Arabidopsis thaliana: one gene and its partner. The protein of the gene in region 1 interacts with the protein of each later gene in a pairwise test. Each region holds a gene or a part of one and is shown in the gene's direction. Other genes may lie near its edges.

The links.
Region 2: the proteins of CRK31 (region 1) and AT4G00670 interact in a protein complementation assay, tested with the Arabidopsis thaliana proteins (one large-scale study listed by BioGRID).

The regions. Positions count from the first base shown.
Region 1 is NC_003075.7:6,965,831-6,971,020, forward strand, and holds CRK31 (cysteine-rich RLK (RECEPTOR-like protein kinase) 31), read left to right. Parts: upstream 1-1,878; 5' UTR 1,879-1,883; coding exon 1,884-2,841; intron 2,842-2,934; coding exon 2,935-3,056; intron 3,057-3,140; coding exon 3,141-3,351; intron 3,352-3,423; coding exon 3,424-3,661; intron 3,662-3,755; coding exon 3,756-3,909; intron 3,910-3,998; coding exon 3,999-4,331; 3' UTR 4,332-4,639; downstream 4,640-5,190. Other genes in the region: CRK30 (cysteine-rich RLK (RECEPTOR-like protein kinase) 30), read left to right, coding at 8-227, 297-534, 631-784, 859-1,263.
Region 2 is NC_003075.7:277,793-280,791, reverse strand, and holds AT4G00670 (Remorin family protein), read left to right. Parts: upstream 1-1,594; 5' UTR 1,595-1,621; coding exon 1,622-1,649; intron 1,650-1,733; coding exon 1,734-1,797; intron 1,798-1,864; coding exon 1,865-1,946; intron 1,947-2,054; exon of another isoform or gene 2,055-2,160; coding exon 2,161-2,358; 3' UTR 2,359-2,476; downstream 2,477-2,999. Other genes in the region: ADF8 (actin depolymerizing factor 8), read left to right, coding at 483-781, 859-1,012.

The DNA.
Region 1 (5,190 bases):
TATGCAGGGTACGTTATCAAATGGAACTGAAGTTGCAGTCAAGAGGCTGTCAAGAACTTCAGATCAAGGTGAATTGGAGTTCAAGAACGAGGTGCTTCTTGTAGCAAAACTTCAGCACCGGAATCTCGTTAGGCTTCTCGGTTTTGCTCTGCAAGGAGAAGAAAAGATACTCGTCTTTGAGTTTGTTCCCAACAAGAGCCTCGATTATTTCCTCTTCGGTAGTACTAGTAGTCTAATTTTCCTCTTGATCCAATATTCTTGAAATCTTAAGCTTGGATTTGCAAATGGATGTGCAGACCCAACAAAAAAGGGTCAGCTGGACTGGACAAGACGGTACAACATCATTGGAGGGATTACACGAGGGCTTCTCTATCTTCATCAAGACTCTAGGCTCACCATCATACACCGTGACATCAAAGCGAGTAACATTCTTTTAGATGCTGATATGAACCCGAAAATAGCGGATTTCGGGATGGCTAGGAATTTCAGAGATCATCAAACTGAAGACAGTACAGGAAGAGTCGTTGGAACCTTGTTAGTATTCTCCTTATTATTTACAATGGGCACAATTCTCTGATGAACGGTTTTTGTTACTGACTAACGTAAACATTGTCATGTATATATTTGCAGCGGTTACATGCCTCCAGAATATGTTGCGCATGGCCAATTCTCTACCAAATCCGATGTCTATAGCTTCGGAGTATTGATTCTAGAGATTGTTAGTGGCAGGAAGAATAGCAGCTTCTATCAGATGGATGGTTCTGTTTGCAACTTGGTCACATATGTGAGCTGAAATCTAAAATGCTTTTTTTACTTTCTAACTGTGATCATCGATTCTGAATACGAGTTTGTTTGCAGGTTTGGAGACTTTGGAACACTGATTCATCTTTAGAGCTCGTAGATCCGGCGATTAGCGGAAGCTATGAGAAAGATGAAGTCACTAGATGCATCCATATCGGACTTTTATGCGTTCAAGAAAATCCTGTGAATCGACCAGCATTGTCTACAATATTCCAAATGCTCACTAATAGCTCCATTACTCTAAATGTCCCTCAACCACCTGGATTTTTCTTCAGGAACAGACCTGAGTCAGACACATTACGCCGTGGATTGGAGCCAGACCAATATAACAATGAATCTGTTACTTGTTCTATCGACAATGCAACAATCACTACACTCCTCGGTAAAACTCTTGCTTCTGCACTCTGTTGTATTACCTCAACTCTATTTTCAAAGTCAATGTATAGAAACACTGAGGATTGAATTATTTTTGAATATTAAAAGTTATCTCATTTTGATTCTGGTTTATGTATTCACGTTCATTTTTTGTTAAGAATAAATGCTTGGCTCACCTGCCCAATAACATCTTTTTTTGACCAAATCAAGGTTCTCAAAATAGTACGGTGAATGAAATCAAACTAGGCTATCCACTGTTTTATCCTCACATGTTTCTGCTTTGTGTCTTCCTTCACAAAGATGCAGGGACTCAGTATTTTAGACCCAACGGTACTCATTCCTTAATGGAGACTAAGAGATTTTTAAAACAATAGGAACCGACGACTTAAATACTTGTGTTTGGTCATTGCTTGTTGCATTGTGTTTTGGAGTAAGTTAGAACGTTTTGGTGTCAAATAGGGCCTAGAAGAGCTACAGATCAAGAATTGGTCTACGTTCACTTTCATCATATTTACCTAACGTGTTTATAAAGTATTAAATTATCCAAAACGTTGACCTAGGTGACTTGTGCATTAATGCACGTATCCACTACTTGACGAAAATTCTACACGCGAAAGCTGTTTTGACCAAATCAACGTTCCAAAATAAACATTTCCTTTTAAAGATTCAAGTTCTAAGATCTGCAACAAGTATCTGAGCAAAGTAAAATGTCAAGAGAAAAAATGTGTTTGAACACTCTCTGTGCAATCCTCTGTTTTGTCCTTACCGTTAGTTTCGGCTTCGTCTCTGCCCAAAAATGCGGGGAGTCTGTGTTTTTCAGACCTAACGGTAACTATGACACTAACCGTCGTCTCGTTCTATCAACGTTAGCTTCCAACGTCAGTTCTCAAAACAACCGCTTCTACAACGTTTCGGTCGGTGAAGGAGCTGGAAGAATCTATGCCTTAGGTCTCTGTATCCCAGGGTCTGATCCAAGGGTGTGTTCCGATTGTATCCAACTCGCGTCTCAAGGTTTATTACAAACCTGTCCGAACCAGACCGACTCATTCTACTGGACAGGCGACAACGCCGACAAGACGCTCTGTTTCGTTCGTTACTCTAACAACTCGTTTTTCAACAAGATGGCTCTAGAGCCAACTCACGCAGTTTACAATACTATGAGGTTCCAAGGGAACCTCACAGCTTATACAAGAACATGGGACGCGTTCATGAACTTTATGTTCACCCGAGTCGGTCAAACTCGATACCTGGCTGATATATCCCCTCGGATAAATCAGGAACCTTTGTCTCCTGATCTTATATACGCGCTGATGCAGTGTATTCCGGGGATATCTTCTGAAGACTGTGAAACCTGTCTTGGAAAATGTGTCGATGACTACCAGAGTTGCTGCAATGGGTTCATAGGTGGAGTCGTTAACAAGCCGGTCTGCTATTTCCGGTGGGATGGTTATAAATATTATGGTGCCTTCGGTGATGAAGCGCCATCTCAACCCCCCACGCCGCTTCCTCTTCCTCCTCCTCCTCCTCGTGATCCAGATGGAAAAAAGATCTCTACAGGAGTTATTGTGGCTATTGTTGTTTCCGCAGTTATCTTCGTGGTGCTAGTCGCTTTAGGATTAGTTATTTGGAAGCGAAGACAATCATACAAAACACTGAAATATCATAGTGAGTTACTTTTTTTGTTTTTGTTTTTTTATCACTCTCACATTACTTATTGGAATGCATATTAGTAACCATGCATATGTTATATATTTGCAGCTGATGATGATATGACAAGTCCACAGTCTCTGCAATTTGATTTTACAACAATTGAAGTGGCAACAGATAATTTTTCGAGGAACAACAAGCTAGGTCAAGGCGGATTCGGTGAAGTTTACAAGGTATATTTGAGCTGAGCTCTACATATATCTATGACTGCTTGATTTGCTGTGAAAACTAAGAACTTATAAGTTTTTCATATGTAGGGAATGTTACCTAATGAAACAGAAATTGCGGTAAAGCGTCTATCGAGTAATTCAGGACAAGGCACACAAGAGTTCAAGAACGAGGTTGTGATTGTGGCCAAACTTCAACACAAGAATCTTGTTAGGCTTCTTGGGTTTTGCATAGAAAGAGATGAACAGATACTTGTCTACGAGTTTGTTTCCAACAAGAGCCTTGATTATTTCCTCTTTGGTAATAAACAATAACACTTGGTTTAATTTATGTTCATTCATCAAATTTTCTTATAATTATAGTGTAATTTAGATCCAAAAATGAAAAGTCAACTAGATTGGAAAAGACGGTACAACATCATAGGAGGGGTTACGCGAGGACTTCTCTATCTTCATCAAGACTCAAGGCTAACAATCATACACCGTGACATCAAAGCAAGTAACATACTTTTAGATGCTGATATGAACCCTAAAATAGCTGATTTTGGAATGGCAAGGAATTTTAGAGTGGACCAAACTGAAGACCAGACAGGAAGAGTTGTTGGAACCTTGTTAGTACTCCGATAATCTCTTTAAAATTGATAAACCTTTTTCTATTTGTTTGTTTCTGATTAACATAAACCTTTTTATGTTGTATATTTGCAGCGGTTACATGCCTCCAGAGTATGTGACACATGGCCAATTCTCTACCAAATCTGATGTATATAGCTTTGGTGTATTGATCTTGGAGATTGTTTGTGGCAAGAAGAACAGCAGCTTCTTTCAGATGGATGATTCTGGGGGAAATTTAGTGACACATGTGAGCAGAAAACAATTTAAAATTTTACTTTGTTTAGATTGTGACCATCAAGGATTTGGATTCTGAATATGAGTTTAATTTCTTGGCAGGTTTGGAGGCTTTGGAACAATGATTCACCCTTAGATCTCATCGACCCTGCGATTAAGGAAAGCTACGATAATGATGAAGTCATTAGATGTATCCATATCGGAATTTTATGTGTTCAAGAAACTCCGGCAGATCGTCCAGAGATGTCTACAATCTTTCAAATGCTTACCAATAGCTCCATTACTCTGCCTGTGCCTCGACCACCTGGATTTTTCTTCAGGAACAGACCCAATTTAGACCCCTTAACCTATGGATCCGAGCAGGGGCAATCCAGCAGCATGTCTGTTCCTTTTTCTATAGATAGTGCGTCAATCACTAGAGCCACTCCTCGGTGAGATGATTGCTTTTGCACTAGTCAGTAGCATTTTACTTGTAACACAAGCAACTCCAGTTTTCAAAGGTCCAGTTAATTTTTATGGTAATATGGGTACATATAAAACCAAACTTATGTGTAGCCGTGTAGGTAGAGTATTCCTTTCTTGTTTTTTCCCATGGCAAGATGAGAATTTGTCAAACCTCAAATATGATACATTAACCTCTAAGAACAACCACTTACGAACCCATTTTTTTACTTCTTCAGTCATCTATGATAGTCACCAGCTTGCTTATTCAGCTTTTTGCTCCCCCAGATTTTCTATAAAGTGGCAACAAATTTTATTATTTCCCCTGAAATATCCATGCAACTACACTTATATTATGATGATGTTCCAATGATTTTGATCACCAACATTTGTAGATCTCTAAGGTTTTTATGTTTCATCAAACTCTATCTAGCAGCTTCACATGTGCTAGTATATTTGTAACGTCTCTCATCCAAGTCCTCTCTTTCAAAGACTGGTTTTCGCTATTTCAAGAGGCTATAAAGACTTCCGGAAGCACACTTAATTAACTGTGACAGGATGTTTCACCGAAAAGATAAGTGGACTTTGGTGACATAGATTGCCTCTCCGAAGCACTATATACACCACTATATTCCTTTAATAGAGGTGTTACAATATCATCTTGATAAATATTACCAACAACATGCTATTGCTTGAACACTAAACGTATTAACTCATAATCGCTAACGAATTTGAACATACGTCTTGAAATAAGACCAAGAATCGACACAAGCTAACGAGTTCTCCTATATCACGCGTGGTGTGATCTTTAGCGTACATGTCAATGGAATTAAACACACTATCTCCAGTATAC
Region 2 (2,999 bases), 6.7 Mb from region 1:
ATCAAAGTCATCTATTTCAAGACGTGATCAGCCTAAAGACCAAAAGAAAATATCAAATATTACCCAACTTTTGTGTTTTTCCTCAACCTCATAAACCCCCCCAATCCTCCTCACTCTTCCCTATCCTCTTCATTTTTCCCAATCATCAAACACAAGATTAGAGTTCGATTCTCCAAAGAAAATATGGTAAGTTCCTACATTTAATCTTCTGATGTAGATGATGATGATGCATTGATTCTGTTTATGTTCTGATTGTCAACATGTGAAATTTATATGTGGATGGTGTGGTTGAATATATATGGTTTTGTGTTATTTGGTTTTGGAAGTGTAACACATGAATAGGTTTCATGTATATATTGACTTCATTAAGAATGATGTTGTGGACATATGGTTTATATGCTATGATCCTAAATCACAATCTAAGTTTTATGGTAACTGGTTAGGAAGATGTATAGAATGGAAACAGCTTAATATATAAATAAATGACTACGTGTGTGTGTGTGTGTGTTGTGCAGGCTAATTCAGCGTCTGGGATGCATGTGAATGATGAATGCAAGATTAAGTTCTTAGAGTTGAAAGCAAAGAGGACTTACAGGTTCATTGTGTTCAAAATTGATGAGAAGGCACAGCAAGTGCAAATAGAAAAGCTTGGGAATCCAGAAGAAACTTACGACGATTTTACCAGCTCTATCCCCGATGACGAATGCCGATACGCTGTCTACGATTTTGATTTCACCACAGAGGACAATTGTCAGAAGAGCAAGATCTTTTTCATCGCGTGGTAACAACACATTGCTCTCCTTAACATGTTTTTTTCCACATGATCTCAAATGCTCATGAATGTGTTGTATTGATCAGGTCACCTGATACATCGAGAGTTCGGAGTAAGATGTTGTATGCAAGCTCAAAAGACAGGTTCAAGAGAGAAATGGAAGGAATTCAAGTTGAATTGCAAGCAACTGATCCTAGTGAGATGAGCCTTGACATCATCAAAGGACGACTCAATCTCTGAGCAACAACAACATTCTAATGCATCCTTTATTCGTTTCAAATTGTTAAGCTTTAACATGCCATTTTCTTGGACCATTTCTGCTTTTGCTTGTCCGCTATATTACATTTTGTGTGGATTCAATGTCTTTAAATTGTTTTGTTTTTCACAAGAAAGAAAAAAAAGAATGATAATTATTTTGCAAAGATAGATATTAGATAGTGAAATTACTCCATAGTGGGGACTTGGTATGGAATGCTTTGGCATATATTGAACACATGCATCTTATTTTTTTATATGGGGGATTCCATTCTTCAATGAAAGGATTATAAAAACTAACCAAATTATAAACTAAGAGCAATTAGAACAACACTTAGTGCTCGCCAATCATATCAAGATTCGCTAGCTTGCAAGCATTGTGATATATTTATTCCTTGCGACATATTAATTTAAAACGAACGATGGTTTTCAAATATTCCCTCAAGACATAAAACGACACCAATGCATTGAAACCGACAGTTCCAAATTTTCACCTTTTGTAATCGAACATGTGTGTTACATCACTATAAATAGACCTAAATGTGCATTTAACTAGCAACTAGAACTTAAAGCCTGAAACTCATTCTCAATCAAATGGAGCCAAATATTCCGATCCAAAGAGGTAACTCATATCACAGAGTTTTAGTATTGTTTAGTTTCATGTTGTATCTTAATTTTTAGTTTATACCTACTACATACCACATAGGAGATGAGCAGTCAAAAGTTATTAAGGCATGGAAGGAACTAAAGATAACAAAGGTCAATAACAAGTAAGTCACAACACAAACACTTTTCAGCGTCGTTTCAGTACCACTGTGACAGATTCTCTGATTGCAGGACTCAGAAGAAGCTACTAGATATTTCAGGATGGGAGAAAAAGAAAACTACAAAGATCGAATCTGAACTCGCTAGAATTCAGGTGATTCCACAAAAGACATCTACCAATTCCTAATATATGATCTATGTACTCATGTATGCTTAAGACTGTTCTACTGCTGTAGCCTGTAGTGTATGATCAAAAACATGAATCTATCTAAACAGCAAGTTAACCAAATGGTACAAGACTATGAAACATGACATTTCATGTCGTCAAAGAACTAACATACAGACGAAAAAATTGTTGTTTTCTACAGCGGAAGATGGACAGTAAGAAGATGGAGAAATCTGAGAAACTAAGGAACGAAAAAGCGGCAGTTCATGCAAAGGCACAAAAGAAGAAGGCAGATGTTCAAACCAGACGGGCTCAAGAGATCCTTGATGCGGAAGAAGCTGCTGCTAGGTTTCAAGCCGCAGGAAAGATACCCAAGAAGTCATCTTTGAGCTGCTTCTGAGATCAGCACTAACCTGTGATACAGATTATCACCTATCTCCGGTATCCTATGTTCATACTTGTATCTTTTGTATGTTGTGTGTTTTGCTTGTGTTGCTCATAAAACAAGAGAGTGCAAAATTCATTGTCCATTGTCCACAGACCAAATCCTGAACTAATCTACCTATTGACAACACAAAACATGCTAAAATAAAATCAGCAACCTGTGTAAATGGAAAAAAAGGAAAATCTCATCTTAAGGTCTCAAAGACTTATTATTGAAGTTGGAAAGCTGGAAAAGGATCATGAAAGAGTCATGAAACCACAGCTCCTTGAAGACGCATCACAACACTGTAACCACTGATCAGTCTACGGCATAGAAAGAAACAATAGCTCAAACGACTTGTTAAAACTAAATAAAAGACTTCACTTTTGTAATACTACCCGGTATTTCAAACCTTTTAGCCTTGACTATAGTTAATCTTTAAAAATAAAGGAATCCCAAAGACGCAGAAAAAAACATTATGGAGGTAAGAGGCAGAATGTGAAGCCTTTTTGGGTTGTCCTTGTCCTGCATGGCTAGATAAGACAACTGTCTAACCATGGCTTCAACCAACCTGAAACATTGCACAAATCCAAATAATATATTAGGGGCCTCTTAAA